Linked DNA regions of Medicago truncatula. The main gene of each other region encodes a partner of the protein of the gene in region 4 in a complex. Links are inferred from orthologs where the notes say so. Each region holds a gene or a part of one and is shown on either strand. Other genes may lie near its edges.

Region 1 (5,780 bases), on a different chromosome or scaffold from region 4:
GCTTTAACCATTCAAAAGCGGTGAGGGCTTCGGTCCTGTTTGGTACCACATGCATAATTGTATATTTTGAGGAGTCTTAGTGGTGTTGTCATGTCTTGCATGAGTCTTAGCGGTGGTGTCGAGTTGTTGCATGAGTCGTTGTTGTTGGTTTTAATTATCATTTGGTTGATGTTGTTAATGATGATATACTTATATATTGATGAATTATTTTTATGACAGGGTGATAGATTTAATTGATGAGTTAGATATCTATTATTGATGATATTGTTGATTATGAAATATATACATATATTGGATAATTGTAGTTATCGTCGTTGTTGGTTGAATTAGTAAGTGTTACTAAAGTTAAAGAAGTAAGAACATTATTGTTAAATATATGTAATTGTTTATATTGTTATGATGTGATGATTATGTTGTGTCGTTTATATTATTATGAGAAGATGTTTATGATAATGATTACGAAGTTATGATGACTGTTTATGGTGTTGAATATGAGGTTGTTATGATGTTACATGATGATGATTATGAATGTTGTGATGATGATTATGTGATGTTATCTATGAGTTGTTAAATGTACTTGATGATAGTTATGTTAAGTTGATAAGTTGTCTTTTATTTATGAATTGCTAATGGAATGTTTGATGAATAATTATTATTATGGAATGATGATGTTACGTATAGTTGCTAAGTTGTCCTCTATTCATGAGTTGTTAATAAGGTGCTTTGGTGGAGAATGTTAATACGAATTAATGATGTTGTTATGTTGTATATGAACTATGAATATGATGTTGTTACGTTGTTTATGTCATTGATTATGAAGTTGTCATGTTGTATACGAATTATAAGTATGACGTTATATGATTATGATTAAGATGTTGATTATGAAGTTAAATGATGTTGTTTATGATATCGAGTTATGAATGTTGATATGATGAGTACATGATATGGTTTAGGAGTCGTTAAAAGAATTATTATTACTAATTGATGGAGTTTAAGTTGTTAGATGCATTTTGATGAATTATATATTATTATTATTGATTGTGAATCTCACCCCTTCTGCTTGAAAATGTTGCCCTTCGTATGGGTAACTTGCAGGTAATAAAGATTAGTAGGAGTGGTGGCTCAACTGTCTAGGACTCTGATACGTACGGGATGGGATTTAGTTATATTTATTTTCATTCCTTATGTATCAATTTTGAAATTATGATGTGGAGCCTTTTATGGTCTTTTGAACAATGTTGTTGACTTATGCTGAGGCCTTTAGTGCCATAAACTGTTGTTGGATGTTCACGATGTTATTGATTTGAAAACTATTCCGCTGCTATGTTTTCATATTTTATCAAGTTGTTTTAATTAAATAGTATTATTTTCTATTTAAGAAATTTTGAAATGACGTGTAACATGCCCGTTGTGGAACTACTCTGATGAATATTTGTTATATAATTGTTTTTGGGTAACGGGGTGTTACAAAAAGTGCTGAAAGAGATAGTTTTCTTTATATATAGTATAAATACTATATATAACTAGCGAAAAAACGGGCACGTGACATGTGTAAATTATGAACGGTATTTTATATGAAATTTTGATTTTGATTAAAATTATAAGTACAAATATTTGTGAAATTAAAATTGTAATAAACCAAAAAAAAATCATGTTTATCTTTTACCACAACAACACAGTAGTTTAACAAATATAATATAAATTCTTATCTTTTTTTAATACCACCAAGAATGTAACATTAATATAGGAAAATTTGTTTAAGGGTATAATTGAAATTATAAAAAATTCAGCCCAAAGTCTCTATTCCCTTCATATATAGTATATATAGTATTTTGTCAAAAAAAAAAAAAGTATATATAGTATTGTTCATGTTGTAGTGGTATATTTCCTATTTTAATGAGATTTCATTTTTCTAATTCAAATTTAATATAATATTATTAAAGGATAAAATAGTAAATAAAATAGGCTTAATTGCACTTTTGGACCCCTAACTAATTTAAATACAAAACAGCCCCCTATGTTTTGATTTTTTTGCCAATTTTGGACCCCAATCCATTGTTGACTCGGTCAACGATGACGTGGCACCCAAAGTGAGGTGCCACTTGTCAATTTTTTTTTTTTGCCTTGGGGGTCCAAAATTGTTAAAGAATCAAAACATAGGGGACTGTTTTGTATTTAAATTAGTTAGGGGTCCATAACCGCAACTTTTGGAAAGATAGGGGTCCAAAAGTGCAATTAAGCAAATAAAATATTTTAAATGAATAGTAAAATCAATAGTATATACATATAAAGTAATGTTTTTATGCCACATGTTGCCTTTGTAATGCCCTGAATTCTGGTAGAACCGTGCACTTGCGGTTTTATCTCATCAGTCATCGAATCTATATAAAAATATGAATTTATATAAAAGAATGATATTTAAAATATAAAAAAATTAATTGAATGAATTCATTTTTTTTTTTAAGAAATATTTACTATTTCATAAATATACACATATAAAATGATTTTTTTTTTTTTATACTAAAGCTAGGTTATAACTTATAAGACCTTGCAAAAAAAAAAATTATTACCTTTAAACAATTTATCTAATTCAAATGAAAGATAGTACCTAAAATAAATCATAATTCGGTGGATCACAAATGAAACATTGTTGTAGGTCATCGAATCTATATAAAAGTATGAATTTATAAAAAAGAATGATATTTAAAATATAAAAAATCAATTGAAAGAATTCATTTTTCTTAAGAAAAATTTACTACTTCATAATTATACACACATAAAATGATTTTTTTTTTTCACTAAAGCTAGGTTATAAAGGCACTGCAAATAAAAATAAAATAATTTGCTCACTAATAACATAATTTTGAATTCCAAATTATTTCATAAAAAACGTAGAGTTTTTCTATTCACACCCTATATATTTCTGGTTACACCCAGTTTTTTTAAAAAGTTTTTGATAATACCAAAATTGTCCTTTTATATAAATTTTCTTAAAATCTTGATTTCATTCATTGTCACTCTAAAATTCCACTCTCTTTCACCCACCAACGATCAAACAATCCTGATGTTCAATTAATCGTTATGGAAGATTAAAGAGTGAATCAAAACATCTTTCATTCATACTCGATTGCATATAAATAAGTGAATTTTTTCTTCTTTTTCAATAACGCTGGTTTCAATTTTCTTCTTCTTGTTCAACTGCACTATACGACAGTTTCAGTTTTACATTGTTGAGGTTAACTTAAATTCAGTTTAAGTAGGTTCATGTAAACTTAGTTTACATAATCTACTTCAACTTAGTTTACATAACCTACTTAAACTGAGTTTAAGTATGTACACTTAAACTCAGTTTACATGACCTACTTAAACTAAGTTTAAATGTACATACCTAAACTGATATTACGTATAATCATTGAACAAGGTTGAACTTTTAGATGTACACTTAAACTGAGTTTACATGACCTACTTAAACTGAGTTTAAGTATGTATACTTAAACTCAGTTTACATGAGCTACTTAAACTAAGTTTACATGATCTATTTAAACTGAGTTTAAGTATGTACACTTAAACTTAGTTTACATGACCTACTTAAAATAAGTTTACATGTACATACTTAAACTGAGATTACGTAGAATCGTTAAACAATGTTGAACTTTTAAATGTACACTTAAATTCGGTTTACATGACTTACTTAAACTGAGTTTAAGTATGTACACTTAAACTCAATTTACATGACCTACTGAAACTAAGTTTACATGACCTACTTAAACTGAATAGGGATCTAGGGTGTAACCAAGAAAAAAGGAATATGCTTTTTGAAAATTAAATTTTATGGAAAGGTAATTTTGTCATTTTGGGGTGCAACCAAAATTAAACAGGGTGTAATTAGAAAAACTCAAAAATGTATTGATCAAGTGGTTCCAGAGTACATTTTAAATAGGTGGGAGCACCCAGGTTCGATTCTCAGGGGTGATAATTTTAATTTTTAATGATTTTTGCCAAGCTGAAAAAGAGGTTTCGAGAGTGATTGGATTAGAAGTGAAATTTAATTATTGTGATGGTTTAAATCGTAAAAAATCATTAATTTAAGATGAAGTGAATATGCAAATAATAAAATACTTGCTAAATTTTTGCAAAATAAAATAATAAATGTTATTATTCTAATGGAGTATACATGAAAACTTTTGATTGGTTTGGATAAATTGCTCATGAGTTTTCAAAGGCAACCTAGACATCTAATTGAAGTATAGACCATACTAAGAATACTAGTTTGAAAGAGAAACACGTTCTACCATACCTATCCTTGTCCTTCTTCTCTTTGCCCTTTTCCCACTTTCCAGTTCCTATCTTTACCTTACCCTCCCAAACTACCATTCATTCATTTTCAAGTTTGAAGCTTTAACCATGGCAAGCTCCACCTTCTTCTCCTCTGTAGCTATATCATCTCTCAGTCACTCACGAAAACCACTTCAATCAACCTTTCTCCTTTCTTCACCAAACCCTTCTTCTCTTTTCACACTTCCAAAGAAATTCACAAAATCCAACAAACTCAGAACCCTAATTGTATCCAAATCCAATAACAGTGATTCAGCTGATGCCAGTGACCGTTTAATTTCAGCTCTTTGTTACTTCTATCCCTTTTTTGATGGCATTCAATATGGAAAATTTGTAATCACTCAATTTTACCCAATTCAAGCCATTGTTCAACCATTGATTCCTGCAATTAGGGTTTTTAAAAGCTTTCCCTTTAATGGGTTTCTTGTGTTTTTGACACTTTACTTTTTTGTTGTCAGAAATCCTAATTTCAGTAAATATGTCAGGTTCAATACAATGCAAGCTATTGTTCTTGATGTGCTGTTGATTTTTCCTGATCTTTTGGAAAGAGGGTTTAATCCAAGAGGTGGGTTTGGATTGGATTTGTTGATGAGTTTGGATAGCACTGTGTTTTTGTTCTTGTTGGTGTGTTTGATTTATGGCTCTTCTTCTTGTATTTTGGGTCAGCTACCTAGATTGCCTATTGTTGCTGATGCTGCTGATAGGCAAGTTATGTGAATGTAGTTCATTTGTATTGTATAGAAACTTATTGTTTAAATTCAGCTTATTTCATAGTGGAAAAAATATTGATTTTTTCACTTAATTAATAGCAAGCCTAGAATCTTGTAAGGAAACAATTTTATTTGTTTCTCATTTTGCTGTATTGTTATATGATTTTCAAATTCATTGGTGAATTTGAGACACTGCTGAACTTCAATACTAGTATATTGTTTATTGAATAGAACTTATGTCTTTAGTTCTTATTACATTGTTGATTTTTAGTTTAAGCTATAGTGTTATCCTTTGAGAACACTAAGGATATTGAGGCCTGTCACTGTTCAATGTGATGATTGCATATGTTGCTTTGCAATGATTGCAGTGTTATTATGTAGATTTTTCTGTAATTTTCAAACCTACGCCGATCCTAATGTGATGCAGTTGCTGACAGTATTGCAGCTGCATTAGTTGATGCATTAGTCGATTTGGTGTAGCCACAATTTAAACCCATAGGTTATTTGTTAGGGAGAAAAGGAGACATAGATCAATGAAACAGATTTCATTTGTTTCGTATTTTGCTGTGTCTTTATATGAATTTCACATTCAGGAGTTTCTTTGTTTGGCTATAGTTTTTGGTGAATTTGTGACACTGAAAAACTTCCTTTACTATATAGATTGTTGTTAATTGAATAGAACTAATGCCTCTAGTTCGTATTAGATTGTCGGTTTTTTAGTTTGATCTATACTCT
Region 2 (6,899 bases), on a different chromosome or scaffold from region 4:
TCTCCAAAGATATGATCAGATTTAATTAGTAGATAATTAAGCAACTAATTGTACATAACAAGCAAAGTTAAGGCTCTATCTCGATAAACAACTTAACTAAGCGCACTTATCGAATAAAAGTTCCTCATATAAGTGCGTATGTATGAAATATATCTATGATAAAAGATAAAATAAAGTCAAACTATTTCCATATAAGCTAGAAGTTGTTTTCATAAGCTATCATGTAGAGTTCATGGAAATAAGCTGAAAACAACTTAGGGACATATCATAAGTTGTTTTTATGGACTCTACCAAACAGGCCGTAAAGCCAAAGAGGTCATGCACTCATGCTATAGTCTGATTATGTTTAGTCAGAAATATCAGTTTCTTTGTCAACTGATAAAAGCTCAAGGGACAAAGAAAAGAACACATACCTAACTAAGGACATCCTTTTTATTAATCAACCAAAACATTAAGACAAGTGAGGTACAATAATGCTAACTTATATTGAATTATGGTAAAACATATAACATGTAGTAGAAGTAAGCATACCTTGAGATGCTTTGTAAGTTGGTTGGCATGTAATATGTTAGCAAGTTTTGACTGTCCATATGCACCCCATCTGCTGTAACTGTATAAAGAGGTCACATTTCCAAGTTTAATTCACCATGCAACTAATGTTAGCCAATTGCTAATAAAATGTAATCAAGGAAGAAAACAAAATCAATCACATGACATTTACCTTGATTCGTCATTGATTTTATCAAAACGGATTCCTTCAGAATATGCGAACCTATGAGCCTCTGAGGCGACATTAACAATTCTTCCTTCTTTCTTACTTTTGCGTGTTGTTTTCTTCATAGTATCCAACAAAAGATTTGTCAAGAGAAAATGACCTGCGTAATTACAATAATTCATAAATAAAATCAGAAATATTGCTTCTTCTCATCCTATGTATTAAAAGATACAGTAAAATTCTCAACAAAAAAAAACAGTAAAATAGTTACTTGATGTGTTACATAAGTTGATTGAGATGGATCAGAAGTGTAAATTACACATATTTCAGTGATGTACAAACTATCACTTTTATCCCTGATATTGTTAAATTCTTTGAATTAGAAATCAATAAAACACATGTCCTGTGCTCCCTATAAACTATTGCAAGTGGCAAAGTTCTCCTCCCTTTCCACTCTAGTGCTGGAAAGTTTGTGAATAATTCATATTACAAGAAGAGTAAAAGGTTATTAAAATTGATTAATGTCACTGTGTCGGTCATCAAATGAATTTTCCGGAGAATAAAACAGTAACATGCACCACATACCTATGTGATTGGTGGCAAACTGCAGTTCAATGTTGTCTTTGGACAACTTGAAAGGGCATGCCATAACTCCTGCATTATTTCTTACAGTTGCAAACAAACAAACAAGAAAAATTAGTACTAATGTGTTGACTTGAATGATTGTAATTAAGAAAGCACAATTGGAAGTTGGAACATAGAAATAACAAACATATATAATGAGACAGAACAAGTAACTAACAACTTCAATAAAACAGTAAAAATAAATCTGATAATTATATGACTAAATTAATCTCATTTTCTTACATCAAGATGTTCAGTGGACGACCAGAAGAATTATACTCAGATGCAAATTTCTTGACAGAGTCCAATGAGCTGAGATCTAACTCCATGGCATCAAGTTTGGCTGAGGGAATGTCCTTGAGTATTGTATCTTTGACATCTTTAGCAGCAACCAAGTTTCTCACACCCATAATCACATGCACACCGCGCAAAGCAAGGACACGAGCAGTCTCAGCGCCAATGCCGCTGGATGCTCCTGTTACCACAATGACCATATACTATACCGCATTAAAATAGTCACACATCTCGATATTTATTTATCAATGATTTCAATGTAGCATGCATATACAGGGTTTCAAATTGTGGTCGTGGTTGCATTACAATTTACAATCACAATTTTTTATATTTCAAAAATTTGCTGTCAAAATGTGCCCACAGTTAGATTCACAAACCATTTTAAAAAATCTTATGGATATGTAATCCAGAAGAAGATAAAGAGAAAAAAACTAAGAGATAAATCATGATTAATCTAAGAAAACTGTTTGCAAATTTCAATATTTTGAGATTGGCTGTAGATCATTATTATTTACTACCACCACTAGTAGTTTTAAAGGGATATTGCACCATCCAAGCAATTGGACTCAAGTGGTTAATACGCTTTACCAAAAACGAATTGTTAGTGTTCAGGATAACTTGAGTTTGATTCCTGGTGAAACAATTCTTGGCGAAACTTTTCTTACAAACTCCGGACCTTTCTCCTGAGTTAACACAAAAAAGTGGTATTGCGGAGGCTAAATTGGATAGAGTTAAATATGGGGGGTCTTAGATCTTTATCGAAAAAGCTTGTAAATAATTCATCCCAAAACCTATGCTTATGTGATGCAAAGCTACAAAGTAATACAATACTGCATAATTTTTTTATGCAATTTCTGGAAATCAAAATTGTATTCAACCAAAAGATATAATAAAATTAAACTATTTTCACAAGTTGTCCTAAAGAACTTATTAACATAAGCTGAAAACGTTTATGAATATAATATAGGATATTTATATATATAAACTCCCTCATCAATCTCACAAATGTTTATGTTAATATATAAACTCAAGTATGCAAATTGAAATAGACACTAAAAAGATTTTCGTGTAGATATAATAGTAGTCTTCATCATAATCTTTTTAGCGTCTGTTTGAATTTACATATATTAACATAAACATTCACGTACGTATAAAATTGTTTGCATGAAGAGATACCATTTTGGGAAATGATTAAGAAAGAAAGATCAACCAGTAACAATGGCAGTGAGACCAGTAGCATCGATTCCATGTGTGACTTGTTCAGCAGTTGAGTTCCATGAAAAACCAGAAACACCTTTCTTGCTGAATGGCCACATATTGCGTATCAATCTCTTTCTCTGCCGTGTGTCACAAAAGCAGTGACCGAGATATATTGCAATTGCAGTGCTTGTTGTAACTGACGTGACGCTACTATATATCTGGATGATATGGAAACACATCAAACTTTTTTTATCTCTTTTTATTATATCATATATGTATATATTGAAATAGTAGAAAAAGTAAACATTTTATCTTTGTCCATAAAAGTAATTATTTTATCTGTCGATATTCAATTTCTTCATTCAAAAAATAATCTAATTCCATTTCTGTATTTATTCAAACTTTTTTCTTTAATTTCAAATTATGGGAAGATTTTTTCTTTTTCCGTCTAAAATCATTAAATTTATTTCATTTAATTATTATTTTACAACTTATTTCATTACATTATATTCTATCTATTGAGATAAAAGGATTGAAGTATACTAAATGAGGAAAATGTTTTCTTCAATCAAATGATTTAATTTGTATACACCAACAACATTTATTTTTGAAAAAATGTCAACATGTTTTCTTCAATTCCTAATTTTTTTATAAACTAAAAATTTATTCAAGAAATAAAAAAACATAAACATAAAATTAGGGGGACATAAGTCTAACTCAATAAAAGATAAAAAAATAAAATAAAAAAGAGTTCCTCAAACGATATAAGAGTTCTTTTCTACCCTTAGTAATTTAGTGCACTGGATTGGATGTGGCCAAGTTGGTGAGGTGGAATTTAATGTGTGGTACTAAGTTGTTTAGTTGAGTTGTGTTGTTTCTACAATTACACTCACTCAGTCAGGGAGTTGGATTGATTGAAGGAATGGTTGTCCTCTTGTCTTCACTCCTCAGAGTGGGGTTCTTGCTGCATAAAGTGCTTGCCTTATTGCCTTTTTTTTTTTTTTTTTTTGGTAGAAGCCTTATTAATGACTTTATATTTGTACTCTACCTTGTGTTTAATATAAGCCATTTTGCCTTTTGCAAAAAATAAAAATGTAAAATATGAATTAAAAAGGTAAACTATGAATTTGAAAATCTGTAGTATAAAAATATTTCATTATTTCAAAAAAAATATTTCATGTTAATTACTCTATCCGTTTCAAAATACATACATTAACATCACAATGTCGCACAAGTGTATTTCCGGAGTCTACCACTTCACTCTAAATGAACAGCAAAACCTAATAATAATAATAATAATAATAAACCAAAGAACAAAAAGGGCAATATTCGGTTTGATTTAGGAGGACCATGTTTGGACCCTTTTACAAGAGGTCCATATTAAGGGACCCTATTTCATATTGAATTACAATCTTGTTTCAAACGTGACAATCAATTATGTTATAGATGCATTTCACATTGACATGAACAATGAATGTTATTTCCATTTTCTTTTTATCAATTAGTTTCGTGCACACACATTACAATGTCATTTTCATTCTTATACAACACTTGGTTATTCTATTTGTCCTTGATCAAATTCATGCTGAAATCCCAAAGTTTCTTAGCCAAATCAGCATCCTTCCCATGTGAACTTGATTTGGCCACATTATTGTCTGAAAAATATTCACCACTAACTCCCTTCACTTGTGGGTGCAATGCTACATAGCAGGTTGTGGCTGCCCCCTACATTTAGATAGAGGAGAAAGTTAACATGCAACTAGCAGAAAGCTTATAAAGTTATAATCTATGTTTAGTTAATAAATGTTTATAACAACCAATATTTATTTGACATGACCCCTCACATTTATAAATAGTAGGTCATAATGATTTTGACATACCTGTGGAACGTTTTTCATCACAAGTTTGCCAACCACATTTACTATACCTGTTGCATAAATCAAACATCAATAGTATATCTATAGAACTCAGCTACTGTCAATATCTCTACACATGAAAAAGCAAACAAACTTTATGGACACTGCAGAATGCCAGTGTGTAAACAAACAAACCAGAAAAACCACCCAATTCAAAATCATCAAATGTATTTATAGTAGTAGTCAGATAAACACAATGAAGTGCTTGATGACAATAAAGTAATAATGTAAATGGTTAGGGAAGAATAGTGGAGAGACTGACAAAGCATCCAACTTCTAGGATGATTTTATTGTTGTTGTACATTATGGATGACTTGGTGTACCAATCAAGTGCTGTAAATTACTCACTCTGTCCTTCAATATTAGTCAATTTAGCAAATAATGCACGAATTAAGAAACGTAATTAATTTTGTTGATTTTATAAAACGTATGGCTTACTTTAGAAAATTAGCCTTCTTTAATAGTATAAGAAAGATAAATTACTAGAATTGAAATAAAAATAGTACAAACAAACAAAATAGTTAGGAGGGAGTACAAAGTCTTTTTGTTTCAGACTCTCGGCGATCATGGTGATCATGTTTCCGATGAATGCTTACAAGGTTGATTGTGGTCTTTAACATGTCTATATTCTTCCTTGTTAAAAAAAAACATGTTTGTATTCTTCAAAATTCAGAGGGGGGCAACGACCAACCTTAATCATAATATTATTAGATGGTGGGTTCTGAACAATAATCATGTACCAAATATAGGATAAAACACCTAGAGCAATGTAGACAGATAAGAACTTATATCATTGTAAAATCCACCGAAAATTTCTTTAGGACAAGTAACATGAAGTTAACAAAGAAAGATAGTGCCACATAACGGTAGATGATACAGAACAAATAATTTAGAATGCCACATCAGAGGACTTGTATAATAATTCATAGACAACCTGAATAGTATAATGCTATAATAGTTACCGTTGATTGCACTGTTATGACGGTAAAGATTGGTGGCAATGCCTCCTGGATGAAGAGAATTTGCAATGATATTCACACCATCATCCTGATCAAAATGCAACAAGTAATGTTATAAATCAAAGATAATTATTGTGGCAAAACCATCAAAAGGGAGGGAGACTGAGAAAGCTATGATTATGGTTGCCAAAAGGGATGCAAAGTTTGCGTCTTTTTCAGAGACTTGAATGAAGGAACACCAACAACTAAAGCCTGTTCCAACTAGGTGGAGTTGGAATGGAGGCGGATAAAACATCCACTAAAGTTGATGTTTAACAATATTTGGTCATTGATATTTTATAATAAAAAAACCAGTCACCAATTGATAGGTGATTAAGATAGCAGATGCTGTAAAAAGGATTATGATTTATAAGTGTAGTTTGAAGACAAATGCTGTAAAAAAAACAAGTAACTCTAAATCAAAATTCTTCCATTCACAGTTCACACTGCAGAAGAAAGTAATTTTCCACAGAAGAAATATGCAGATTTAATGCTACAGCACTTCTAAAAATAATAAAATAGAACTTGTTACATCGAGATTAAGGTTAAAATAATGAGAGATAATAACACTATCAATAAACTACTTCACTGGATAACATGTTAAATAAGTAACACCACTATATAGTAGAAGTAAGCATACCATACCTTGAAATGTTTTGTAAGTTGGTTGGCATGTAAAATATTAGCAAGCTTTGACTGTCCATATGCACCCCATTTGCTGTAACTGTATACAAGGAAGCAAACATAATTAAATTGGAATAACATTACTCCAGTCGACAAATACTACAGAAACAACTTTTCCACTCTTAATTCTTCATGCAACTAAGATAAGCGAATTGTTTCAACTGTAAACAAGGAATTAAACATAACTATCTACACATAAGTACATAACACATCTCCTTTCAACAAGTATTACAAGAACAGCTCCATTGTTAGTTCTAGTTGTGAATCAGTTATAATTTCCAAACAATAATAAATGTCATGTAAGTGGTGGAAATGTAAAAGAGACATTTCAAGAGGTGAAAAGATGTAACGATATTCTTAGAGAAATGAAGTCAAGCTACTTGAAAATGTGGGATAATAATGTCCACTATGTATGCTATATTCATGAACGAGAGTCTCATCCCGTCCTGTAACCAAGGAAACCTGTGA
Region 3 (5,576 bases), on a different chromosome or scaffold from region 4:
ATATATAATTAATGAGGGAAAAATAAGAAGGTATAATTAATGACGACACTTAATTTGATTTTTTTTTTTTTTTACTTTTGGTAAAACAACTACTACCTCCGTCCCTAATTATAAGACACTTTTGAAAAAATAATTTGTCCCTTTTTATAAGACTCCTTTGATATTTTCAAGTACATTAATTATTTCTTTACCAACATACCCTTATTTATTTTGCATCTTTTTCTTCAATCAACAATAAATATTATATTGAAAACATAAATTAACTCTCTCTTAAGGATAAAATTGTAAAAACAATAGTAATTATATACAAATTTAATACTACAACCAACTTTCTTAATCTCTGCAATTTTGGAAAAAGGCTCCTATATTTAGGGACGGAGGTAGTATTAATTTTGAACAGAGGAGTAGCATTTATCAAGTTCAAGATTGAAGCAGCCGGGTACTTACTTGACAAGACTTGCAATTTGATCAAAAAGTTCAGAGATTGATTCTTGATCTGCCAAGACTGAAGAAGATGGTTCAACTGAAGGTGCGGTCGGTGGTTCAACATCTGATTTGGCTTTAGGAGGCACATCATTAGAAGAACCATCAAGGGCAACCTTGTTGAAGCCAAAAAAAGAGACCAAAATCAGCATAGAAACATATGTCTATGTGGACGCAGTGCGCACATATCTATCAAGAGAACAGATTTTGGCAAACTTATAGTTTGCAGCATAAATGTATGTATTTTATCACAAACTCAACTGTTAATTTTCCAACCAATGATTGTAATTTTGTGTTTTTTTATGAGGAAAATTCAATCTAAACTCACATAAAGCTATGTTACAGTAGCACTGACACTTCAGATTTAAAGAAACAACTTAATTTGCAGCTTATAGCATAAGCACTTACGTATAAGTTACTTCTATAACAAAAGATAAAATTAAATTGAAGTGTTTTCGTATAATCTATAAGCTGTTTCCATAAGCTATCTTATAGAACATATGAAAATAACCTGAAAACAGCTTACGAACATATCATAAGTTGTTTTCATAAGTTCTCCAAAACAGTCTCTCAAGTGTTTATGTCAGTAAATTAACTCAAATAAGTCAATTCAAACAGCCACAAACATTAAAGGCCTCTCAGGTGGTGTCTGACACGGAAACAATACCGGCACTGCGTGTCAGTATCATGTTCGGTGTTCGTGTCTGTGTGTTCATAGATATGAAGTGTAAAAGGGAGAATGTTTACCTCATTTAGTTGAGCCTTAACCCTGGGGCATAATAGCATATGATTAGGTGGGCATCCCTGCACAAAGACATACATAAATTAGTGACAATTTGAATTAAAAAGAAAGTATAAATATAAATTTAGGAAGATAAAATGTGATATGGAAAGAGATAGATACCTTGGTGAAAAAGCGGAGAGAGTTGTTGGAATTAGGAGAGAGACGAGGGAAAGAGATGGAGGAATGAGAAAAGCGTGCAGATTTGGTGGAAGCTGCAGCTGCAACAGTGACAGTAGGAGCAGCAGAAGGTGAAGTGGAAGACAACGAGGAAGCCATGAAACTGAAACTGAAACAAGCAAGTTTTTTGATTGATGTCGGATCGATGAAATCTAAGGTACTTACTCTTTGTTGTGTTCAGTGGGGTAGCTCAACTACACTAGCGCACACTTACGATATCCAATGCATCTACTTTTTTTTTTTTTCAAGTGAATAATATTTTTCACTCTCTCTCGTAAGAAATAATTTACTTTGAAAACTCACACAAAAATAAAAAACAATTTAAGGTTCAAACTTTATACTCGATCAATACAAAGAAAAAAAAAAGTTCGGTCCAACACTTTCAGCTGAGTTGGGCATTGTAGATTCAAAGGGATGGGCCTGTATTTATATTTTAAATATGAAGAAGTATCAATCAAAAAAATTATTATAATTAATTATATTGATTAAGTTTAAGTTTCGAGTTCATGCCCTATTAGCACTCTTGAGAAAATGTAAATGAAAATCTCTTTGTAATTGTAATTTAAATATTAAAGACTTTCTTGCATTGAATTAAGCATCCCCTCACTTTAAATTTCTCATATAAAACAATATTATTATTGAAATCTAAATTTTATAGTTATATATATTCAACAATGTAAGTGATTGATAATATCCACCTACAACATAGTTGATCCTATCGAACCTGAGATTTTGTAGTTGATGATGTTGAATGGCTTTTAAGTAAGACATTTCCTTCAGTTGTTGCATTTATCTTAGTCGCCTGCGGCCTTCTTCTCCAAGTGAATCCGACGTTCAAATCAGTGAGTGGCATGGGCGGTAGGTGCATATGTGTAAAGTGAACGCACTTGACCTCATGCTTATGAGCCAATATTTATGGCGGCAATTTAAGGTTTTAGTCCTTGTACCTTTACCTGGGCAACTGTGAGAGTTTGGTCCATGGCAGATTTGTGCCACTGATCCATGTTGGTTGTCCAGATTTAATTAGATTGCTCTTGTTCCACACACCCTGCTGGTTGTTCATCTTCAGTATGTGTGCTCTTATGCCACAAGCCTCTTTAGCTGTTCATTTGTTCTCATTCGATTCCGTTCACTCCTATGCCGCAGCCCCATGTACTCCTTTTTGCGAGGAGCCCTTTAGAACTTATTAGTTGTTGGGTGTCAGCCCATACCAGAACAGTTACCCCCCCCCCCCCCCCCCAACTATTAGTTGATAGACTCGAGTGATAGTTGCGTATGAAGGTGGATGGGAAGCCCTTGTTGTTTAAGTTCGTTCATACGTCATTTCGTTTCTCTGCGAATCAAAATATGCTTTGGGAATAACCTTTTATTTAAGAACATCAACACAATCATATAGACGACAAGCATCGCTAACATTCTCGTTTATTATTGCATTGTACATGTCTTTAACTGTGCGACCACCTCGTGAAGCTTGATTCCAAGATAAAGTACCATTCACGTTAACTTACAACGAAACCTTAGCCAACGAAGTCCCGATAAGGCATCCAAAGGATGTTGTGGTCTACATGCACTCGTGAAGAGTCAGATCATACAAAATCATATACTCGAAGCATTTTGGAGCCCTTCATTTTATCCAATGATTGCCTGACCATCGTGCCTCAAGGGTAAATCCAATACATCCACACAAGTTCTATAAACAGGTGTGTCACATGGAAAACAAGGTACACACTCTCATTTCAAGAAATCTTCTCAATGCTCGTTGAAACTTCACTGACTTTAGCGTTGGGGTATCTTTGCAGGTACACCCTCTTACATTCATGAAAAATCTGCTCTAACCACCGTGAACCAACACAACAATTGTTTCACACCACCTCCAATAGACTCTTACATTCGATGACAAGAACAAATATAAAACACGAAAAAAAGATGTACATACATATACACCATATGTGAAGATATTACATCTCGTCTTATTTCCAAAAATCATTAAAAAAGTACTCAAAAGATATTCAATTAATCATATTATATTTTATAATCTCAAAAAAAAGAAAAAAAAATTACCAGAAAATAAATAATAGGGTTAATAGTGCTTTTCACCCCTGTAATATATGTAATTTCTGGTTTTCGCCCCCATAAAATTTTCGGTTTGATTTTCACCTCGTAAAAATTTTATTTTCCGGAAAACACCCTTAATAGGCCATTCAAAAACCAAAATTTCTTGAAAAAAAAATATGAAAATGGCCTATTAGGGGTGTTTTCCGAAAAATAAAAATTTTACGATGGTGCAAATCAAACTGAAAATTTTGTAGGAGCGAAAATCGGAAATGACATATATTATAGGGGTGAACAACACTATTAACCTTAAATAATATATACTTGAAAAATAATATAGTTTTGGAGAATGCTAATCATTGTCCTTGGGACATTAGATAAGGGGATAAAAATAGAAATATAGTATTAGAAAATAGTGAAAAATGATAAATTTAACTTTTTAAAAATCAAAATGTTGAAATCAATGCAAACATGTTACTTTTGGGCAATGGTTAGCAAGACCCTATAGTTTTTGAGAAATGATATTTGTACAACAATTTTGGTACAACTTTTGTACAACTTTCTCTCTCATACTCACATTATATTTTTATTTCTCTCTCCAATATTTTTTACCAATGAAAAGAGAGAATAATAAAAGTTGTACCAAAATATTTGCCAAAATATCACTACTCATAGTTTTTTACCGGCCCAATGAAAGTAACTGCATGCAGCAGCAGATAAAGGATCTAAAACAGTTGTTTAATTCCATTTTGCAGAAGTTACCAAGAACCGATTCTGAAACCAAAAATGGCTTCCCTTTCTATTCTCCACCGTCCCTGCATTTTTCACCACACCCCCAAATCCTCAACCCTAACCCTAAAACCAAAACCCAATTCCCTTTCATTCTCACCCTTAACTAAACCATCACTCAAACTCAAACTCAGAAACGGCGTCGTTAAAGCAAGCACATCCACACCCGCAGCACCAGAACGGTTAATCTCAATCGCCGCATACGCACTTCCATTCTTCAATTCCCTTCAATATGGTCACAACATTCTCACCCAATACCCTAAAGTCGCACTCCTCTTCGACCCAATCATCCCTTTCCTCTCATTCTACAGATCCCTCCCTTACGCTTCGTTCATAGCGTTCTTCGCGCTTTACTTGGGAATTGTGAGGAACCCTATTTTTCCACAGTATGTTAGATTCAATGCTATGCAGGCTCTGACATTAGATGTGCTTCTGGTTCTTCCGATGCTGTTTCAGAGGATTTTCTCTCCTGGGAGATATGGATTAGGTTTTAAGATTTTGGTTTGGTCGCATAATGTTGTGTTTGTTTTTAGTATTCTGTGTTTTGTTTATAGTGCTTTGTGTTGTCTTTTGGGTAGGACTCCTTACCTGCCTTTTGTTGCTGATGCTGCTGCTAGACAAATCTGAATATCATATGATAGATTATAGGATTACTATGTGTTGTATTGAATTGTATCAAACAAACAATTACCTCTCTTTTGCTGTTCTGTTAGTTATTTTGGGTTACTTGAATTAATGAATGAATACAATTAATTATCCTTTTCAATTTATGGAGTGTTTGATGTATCACATTATTTGTGGTATAAGATGAAATGTGAAATGAAGTTAGATTTTATAAACTTTTATGGGTTATTTTACGATTGTGAAAAACGTAACTAAACAGTGAATCCATGATAACTCACTAAATTCTTTGACAAATAGACAACATTACCCGAACAAAATTCACTTCTTGGTTTACATGGAATTTGACGTTGCCCATGTACTTCCTAATGAAAAGTACTAGAAGTGGCAACAACTTATCACTTGTTATGCAGTTCTGAGTTTAAGAAATCTCATGATTTATGGATTAAAATTTGGAAACTTCAAGTTCAAGAGAGGATCAAATTCTTTCAGTGGCTCGCGGTTCATGGTAGGTTGATGGGGTAGTTCTTGTTGTAATTTGTGTGGGGCCGAGTCAGGAACTATTTTACATGCTCTGAGGGATTGTTCTTATGTAATGGTGCTTTGGCTTAATGTTGTTAGATTACAGATCAAGGATAATTTTTTTGCTGTGAGCTGCTGTAATGGATCA
Region 4 (7,019 bases):
AATGTAATTCTGTGGACTGATTGTTTTCTTTCTTTTTTCTTTCAAGCATGATCATTATATAATTTCTTCTCGACCTCTTTGTGGATAAAGTATAGTAAACTACTACAGATTTTGTTTTGTTTTTGAAAAGGACATAAAATAATAGACAGTATGCTTTTCTAGCAGACGGTGACTCTTCACCTGAACACATTGTTGAGAAACTTTTTCTTCTTCTATTACTTGTTTGGCTTAAATTACATAGATGGAGACAACACTAGATGTCATAAAAAACCATTATACAAGCTGTAAGGGTAATATTGAAAAGGGAGATTTTTTACAACTTGTTGCTCACAATCTCCTATGTGTCCTAATAAAATTTGTTGTATTCAATGCAACAGCTGTTGAACAAGCATATACTCCAACAGAGCACAGGGCTGCAGATGCCAACAGGATGGCTTTCCATTGTCTCCCAGTAACCAGAATTGCTAATGCAGCTAATGCAACGACCACAGCCGAAAGGGCATTTTTCCAAGTTTGAAAAGCTTTGACGGCGGTTCTACATCCTTTGCAATGTATTACATGCCTAAAATATCTATTTGCTAAATTTGGAGCATGCATTGTTCCAATGCCCCCCTTTGCAGGTGAAGAAGCTGATAGTCCTGCAATGAGTCCAGCAGGCGCATGTTCAATCACAGCCGGCTCTTTGGGCAGGGAAATAGTGTTGTGACCAAAATGATATGGCATCCCGTGTCCCACTTTATCCATCCACTTACGGTATTCAGCAACCCATGTGTCTGATGATTTTAAATTCAGGTATAGTTCCTTTGTCGGAACCTTCTCTTTCAAAAGAATTTCATTTTGTGATGATAAGAATCCCATGTCTTGTTCAAAAACCTTGCTTGCATTCTGATGGAAGTACCATTGAGGAAACAGTTTTACTATTGGAGATCTTTTTGTTCCTCCAAACCTCACTATCAGCATGGATTTCCCTTGTCCAGTTGGCCTACAAAGGAACAGACCACTGAAGTAGTTTATTTCACCATTTTTATCTACAATTTCCCTGTTATTTTGTAGAACACAAGGAGCCTCAAACCGTAAGAAGTTAGGCTTAGTGCCGTCTTTCTCTCGTCCCCACCAACCTGCAAACCCTCTATCAGTTCGTTCTGTCACCTCAAAAAGTAGCGGTTGTGCATCTTCTCTCTTTGCAGTCCAATCTGTTCTATCGTGCGAGATTGGAATATGAGCAGGATCCATCAAGTTTTCCAGTAGAATAGAATGATCATATGGGAGTTCATGAGTTGTTGAAACATCTTGAAACCCTGGCCTTGCAAAGTTCTCAAACCAAGGTATTTTGCTGACATTTGGAGGTACCTTTGGTGACATCCATACCCAAATAACACCTTGAGAATCCCTCACCTCATATGTTTTAACACAGGCTGACCTGGGAATTTTTGCATCAGCTGGAAGCTGTTGAAAACAGAGAAAACAGTTATTATTACTTGTTACTTGTTAGCCTCAAACCATATAAGGACATTCATGATATAGGTGAGTAGAACTCTAAAGTCAGTAGCCTACCTGAGGTATCTTCACACATTTCCCTTCGCCTTCGAATTGCCATCCATGATACAGGCATTCAAGCCTTCCATCAATCAACTGGCCTTCAGATAGTTTTGCTAACCTGAATCATATAAAATATAAGATCCAGTCCAGCATTGTGAAAGGAATAAAAAATCATAATTTCTTATACTTACTTGCCAATCAAATGTAGATGGTTTGATTTAATTTTGAAAAAATTAGCCGGTTAACGTGAGAATATTTATTAATGTTCATTATCACCTATGAAAACAACTAGCACAGGGGAATTCGTAAGTAATTGAAATTGGTACATACTATCATTATTCATTAGGTGAACTTAGTGACTGTCCTAGGAAAGATACAAATATTAAATGAATCAAATTTGTTTTGATAAATTTCAGTGATACTCAAATGTTTAAATATACCCTAGCCTCTTCTCAGCAGTAGCAGTATTGTAAATATGGTATTACAGAGAGATAATTAATAACTAACATAACAATCCACTAACATTATTAATACCAATATCTTATTCCTAAATAGAGTAATATAGATCTCATTATCAGACAAACACATTGGATTAGTTTCTGATCCTTGAGTTTGATTTCACATCATGGTAGAGAAAAATAAACCCGAACATTAGGAGCACCAAGTATATACACAGTATACAGCTACAAAATCTGTATTAACTGAGAAGAGCTGTATCTGCATCAATAATCATGTTATTTTCATTTAATCACATAGCATGCAACTTTGGTTAAATCAATTATGAATTCTTACATATGGGATGTGATCACATAAAGAAGTTGAAAGCAAAATCAATCATAAGAATAATTAGAAGCGAGATAAATTAAAACCAACCTGTGAGGACACCGATCTTCATAGCATTGAAACTGATCATTGCCATCTTTAAACAAAACAAGGTTCTTGTCAAATACTGTGAGACCCAACGGTGCATCATCTGGTACATTCTTAGTGAGGTACAAAGGGTACCATTCCTCTTTCCAATCATAAGCTGCAAGTTCTCTCTCACCCCTGCGTTCTTGCTCACTGGAAGGTCCCACTAGAACTTTCTGATCTTCTTCCACATCAAGTAAAGTTGATGCAGTTTTGACATCTGCCGTGGCGGGGAGATACCCTGCATGCTTTCTTCTGCTTGATGACAAGCCTTTGTTGAGATTGAAACTGAAACTGGAAGATGGGCTAGTCCAAAGGAGTATTTGTTTGGATGGTGGAGGTGAAACTGGCAAAGCAAAATGAGTTTTGGTAGGGAGAAGAAATGGATTTACCAACGCCATAGAGTGAAATCAAGAAGCAGTACTAGAAACTGATCGAGGTAAAGAAAGAAGAATTAGAAGAGATACTTTCAGGTGAGTGTTGTGTGTGGTTGCAAGACTCGTGTGACATTCATAACCACACAAAATATTGCTGATTCTTTTACCTTAAAATGAAAATTTGGACACATAATCCATTACACGCAACATGGATGAATTCTCGTTAACTATTGTCGTTTCATAGTGTCTATATGAGACTAAACACAACCATAACAAAACCAACGTGGTCCACTTTTGTCAAAAAAACAAAACACTAATGTGGTCCACTGTTACTAATAAAAGGTTTAACGTAAAGAATTGAAATGCTAGGAAGAATCGATTTAAAAAGTGTGGAACTCGTCTGAGTTTTAAATAAGAGAGTGGATTTAAAAAGGAGTGCTCATAACGCTACTCTTGATGTAAAATGTAGGAAGCAAATTGAACTCTCAGTAGAATTTTTTAAGCTCATTTTCAAACGTGGCTAAATAGATGCATTCCATTGGAAGTAACATGTGATGTGTGGTTAGGATCTTCAAAATAAATTTGTCCTACACTGTGACTATACTCCTACTGAATAATTGTTTGTTATTTAAACCCATATGTTATGTGTTTTTCTTTTTCATACAAAATAAAGGATGTAGTATGTTCCTTCACGTCATGTGACTCTAAATTGATTCCACAACAGGAGTGCACATATTCTCATGTGATTTTTGGTGTTATCTACAATGTGGTGTGTCAAGTACCTTGTCAATTTTTAGGAAGAATCTAAATTTGATTTTGAGAGAATTTTTTTAGTTAGATGATACTTATCTTTTGACTGAAGTCCAAATTACTATGAACTTTTTTTTTATAAATCGAAGGATTAACACGCAAAAAAATCTTGGCAGCAGAGGTATAATCTTCACAAAACTCGGAATCACAATTCAAACATTAATTGTGTTTGAAATATTCATTAGAATAAACATTTATATTTAATATCTAACGACCGCTTGAACATAGTCATCTATAGTAAAAAAAAATGTGAGTTAGTTAAAAAAAAAATTGAATGACGTTAATGTATTTTGATATTCTTGTATGATTGTATTTAAATAAAGGGTCTTGTTAACTAGTGCATCCAAGACATTCTTTAAGGATCCTAAATTTAGAAAATATTCATTAAAAAAGTCTAATGTTACAAATTTCAATGCATTGATTACACAATTTTTCATAAAAACTTACTATTAAAAGTTTTTAAAGAGTACCTCGGAGACACTCGTTAACATTTCTCTTAAATTAATTAGTGCTAGCACAAAAAATACCTCATTTATAAAAAAATAACAATTGTGATTTTTCTTTTAAAAGTTCTTGTTAGTGAACTTTAGGTCAAACCTAGTAGGAAAGTGTCAGGTACTAGGCCACCAATGTTTTGTATATTTCATGGGTAAATGGTGAGTTAGGTTTTGGTATGAGACTACTAGGGGAGGATCAGAGTTTCTCCCCCATTATCTCATCAACTTGGCCCTAATATTTTGAGTGGTTATTTGCTCCTCAAAGTTAATTTAGGGTCGGTGTAGACTTAACCCCAAACAACGCCATCTCTTGGATTAAATCATGAACCTCCTCTCTCTCTTAATCGACCCTCATATTGATGGATGTGTTAGACGAACCATCCATCCAACAAAAAAAGTCGAATAAGTGATGAGATGAGAGAGAGACCAAAATAAAATCAAATAACATTCTCGCTTTAATGTTAGAGAATCCTTGTTGAGGATGCCATTTATGTTTTTTCATTACATTTTGCATAACTGCATTCAAATGATTTTGTTATAAATAAGGAGGAAAAGATTCAACAACACTGCAACAGACAATCTACTTATGATGTTTACTCTATGGTGTTTTGACGTTATTTCTACTTTGTTGTTATTCATAATAATTTTCTTTTATGTATTCCTCCATATTAATATGTGTGTATTTTTTTTTTATTTTTTTTTAAGTTTTGCTATAAAATTTGTTTTAAGTCTCTAAATACTCTAAATACAGTGGACTAACTTTAGGTAACAGTAAACTATTTTACACCAAGAGTGCAACTCCCGTTAAACTCTAATTATTTTTATGGAGTAAACCTATAAATCAAAGAAAAAGTTTTTTGCAATACTTTCTTTATTTTTTAGGGTATTGCTAACAAGTGTTCTATTCTATGCACTAATTATAGAGCAAACCAATTTGAGAACCACAGTCGCAACAAGTGTAGGTAATAAAAGTGGTTCAATTAATAACCGCGGTCGCAACAAATGTAGAATCCATTTCAAAAATAACATGTGCAAGATGGAGATTGTGAGCTATGCACATCCCATGAATTAAACCCCACATCTCAACACAATGAGAATTGTTATGTTGAAGCTTGCAACGAAACCTTTAAGTACCAAACCATCGTGGGAATCTCTAAAACTAATCAATCCACCATACGTCAAATTGTCATTCCTCTTATTATGAGATCCATACTAAATTTAAAGTTAAATATATGTTTGGTCCTTATAAAATGATAATTTTTTAAGTTGAATCCTTATTTAATTTTAAGGGTCTTGTAAATCGGCGTCCAAAGGACATTGGTTAAGAACCTCACAAACTCTTTAATATTTTTCTAATTTTAATAGTTTTTTTTAGTCTTATAAAAACTTTTGTACATAGATTTAGTCCCTAATAAAACAAAATTTGTTTAACAAACCTTAAACTCTAAATTTTTTGAACAATTTTTTTATAAACATGTTTAGAACATCATATTTAATTTATCTCATCTCATATTTAAAAAAATTAAAATTAAAATAAGCAAGATTTTTATGTTGTTCTAAACCTGTTTGCAAATTCCAAAAATTTAGATTTAAATGATAAACAAATTTTATTGAGCAAATAGTCATTTTGGTCACTGACTCTGCACTTCCGTTATCACTTTAGTCCATGACGTAAAAAAATCTGTTAAGTGATGATGTGGCGCATATGAGGTGTCAGAAGGACTAAAGTGAAAGTAGAAAATGGTCACTTTGATCCATGAACCAAAAATCAATATTCCTAAATTGAATATCAAATTCCTAAATACTTAAATCTCAAATCCCTAAATGTCATCTAATTCTCTATTTTGTTCAAATTAATCTTCCATTAAACACAATTTATTGTTAGGTCCCTAACTGTGCATACTTACTATCAGTTAGGTCCCTGACAATGAATTAGCAAATCCATTAGCATCTATTACTCTTGATTATTGTTATATTCACATGATAATTCATATATCTACCCGTAGGTCTGAGCATACAATAATCAAGAGCTCAAGATATATTTAAATGATAATTCATTTCTATTGAATTTCTTTTAACATAATTTCTAACTCAAAATTTGTTCTACTTACTAGGTACTTTTCATGTTTCCAAGTTTATTATCAAATTTCTCACTTTAATTTTTCTTTCATGAGAAGTTAAAGCAACTAAAACATAAGTTCTTTAATGTAACTTAATAGCATGAATATGATATTTAATACTATTGAATCAACACCTTCTTGTACAAATCTGAATGTCATTAACTTTAAGCCTGTGTATTTTAGCAAGTGAATTTATGCATTAGTTATTCACATCTCTCCACCAAAAATTTGATATTGTTGTTGAAAGACACATAAAAAATCAAGCTATAACTTTAAAATACTTACAGAGATTATAATTAAACACACTTTTCATAATTCATTTATCTATATATGTAATCCTGATGCCATTAATATACTAAAGGGAGAAAGAGGTAACAGAACCACAACACTATGACACTACTATATAAAACTCCAAACCTTAGCCCAACATATCATTGCCTCAAGATCAGCTTTCAAGCCAAAAAGATCCTTAATAGTCAGGGACCTAACTGATAGTAAGTATGCACAGTCAGGAACATAACAGTAGGTTGGTGTTTGGAAGATTGATTTTGAGCAAAAAAAGATAATTAGATAATATTTAAGGATTTAAGATTTAGGGATTTGATATTCAATTTGGGAATATTGATTTTTGGTTCAGGGACCAAAGTGACCATTTTCTACTTTCACTTTGGTCTCTGTGACACCTCATATGCGCCACATCATCATAATCACTTAACATATTTTTTTAACATCCGGGACTAAAGTGACAACGGAAGTGCAGAGTTAGG

What was found.
Region 1: protein TIC 55, chloroplastic (region 4) and protein TIC 20-v, chloroplastic share a complex: the UniProt entries of both Arabidopsis thaliana proteins name them as parts of the tic complex. The link is inferred for Medicago truncatula from reciprocal best matches to the Arabidopsis thaliana genes TIC55-II and Tic20-V.
Region 2: protein TIC 55, chloroplastic (region 4) and short-chain dehydrogenase TIC 32, chloroplastic share a complex: the UniProt entries of both Arabidopsis thaliana proteins name them as parts of the tic complex. The link is inferred for Medicago truncatula from reciprocal best matches to the Arabidopsis thaliana genes TIC55-II and Tic32-IVa.
Region 3: protein TIC 55, chloroplastic (region 4) and protein TIC 20-II, chloroplastic share a complex: the UniProt entries of both Arabidopsis thaliana proteins name them as parts of the tic complex. The link is inferred for Medicago truncatula from reciprocal best matches to the Arabidopsis thaliana genes TIC55-II and Tic20-II.

The regions. Positions count from the first base shown.
Region 1 is NC_053046.1:43,070,525-43,076,304, forward strand, and holds protein TIC 20-v, chloroplastic, read left to right. Parts: upstream 1-4,249; 5' UTR 4,250-4,404; coding exon 4,405-5,052; 3' UTR 5,053-5,278; downstream 5,279-5,780. UniProt on the Arabidopsis thaliana protein: May be involved in protein precursor import into chloroplasts. Not redundant with TIC20-I, TIC20-II or TIC20-IV.
Region 2 is NC_053042.1:48,849,757-48,856,655, forward strand, and holds the start of short-chain dehydrogenase TIC 32, chloroplastic, read right to left. Parts: upstream 3,037-6,899; 5' UTR 2,950-3,036; coding exon 2,844-2,949; intron 1,815-2,843; coding exon 1,583-1,814; intron 1,381-1,582; coding exon 1,301-1,380; intron 876-1,300; coding exon 722-875; intron 611-721; coding exon 532-610; intron 1-531. Other genes in the region: short-chain dehydrogenase TIC 32, chloroplastic, read right to left, coding at 4,394-4,558, 4,714-4,760, 5,712-5,796, 6,393-6,471. UniProt on the Arabidopsis thaliana protein: Involved in protein precursor import into chloroplasts. Part of the redox regulon consisting of TIC32, TIC 55 and TIC62.
Region 3 is NC_053048.1:37,298,478-37,304,053, forward strand, and holds protein TIC 20-II, chloroplastic, read left to right. Parts: upstream 1-4,230; 5' UTR 4,231-4,282; coding exon 4,283-4,912; 3' UTR 4,913-5,055; downstream 5,056-5,576. Other genes in the region: biotin carboxyl carrier protein of acetyl-CoA carboxylase, chloroplastic, read right to left, coding at 448-599, 1,231-1,287, 1,388-1,543. UniProt on the Arabidopsis thaliana protein: May be involved in protein precursor import into chloroplasts. Not redundant with TIC20-I, TIC20-IV or TIC20-V.
Region 4 is NC_053044.1:52,261,608-52,268,626, reverse strand, and holds protein TIC 55, chloroplastic, read right to left. Parts: upstream 3,024-7,019; 5' UTR 2,850-3,023; coding exon 2,413-2,849; intron 1,658-2,412; coding exon 1,555-1,657; intron 1,447-1,554; coding exon 328-1,446; 3' UTR 176-327; downstream 1-175. UniProt on the Arabidopsis thaliana protein: Involved in protein precursor import into chloroplasts. Part of the redox regulon consisting of TIC32, TIC 55 and TIC62.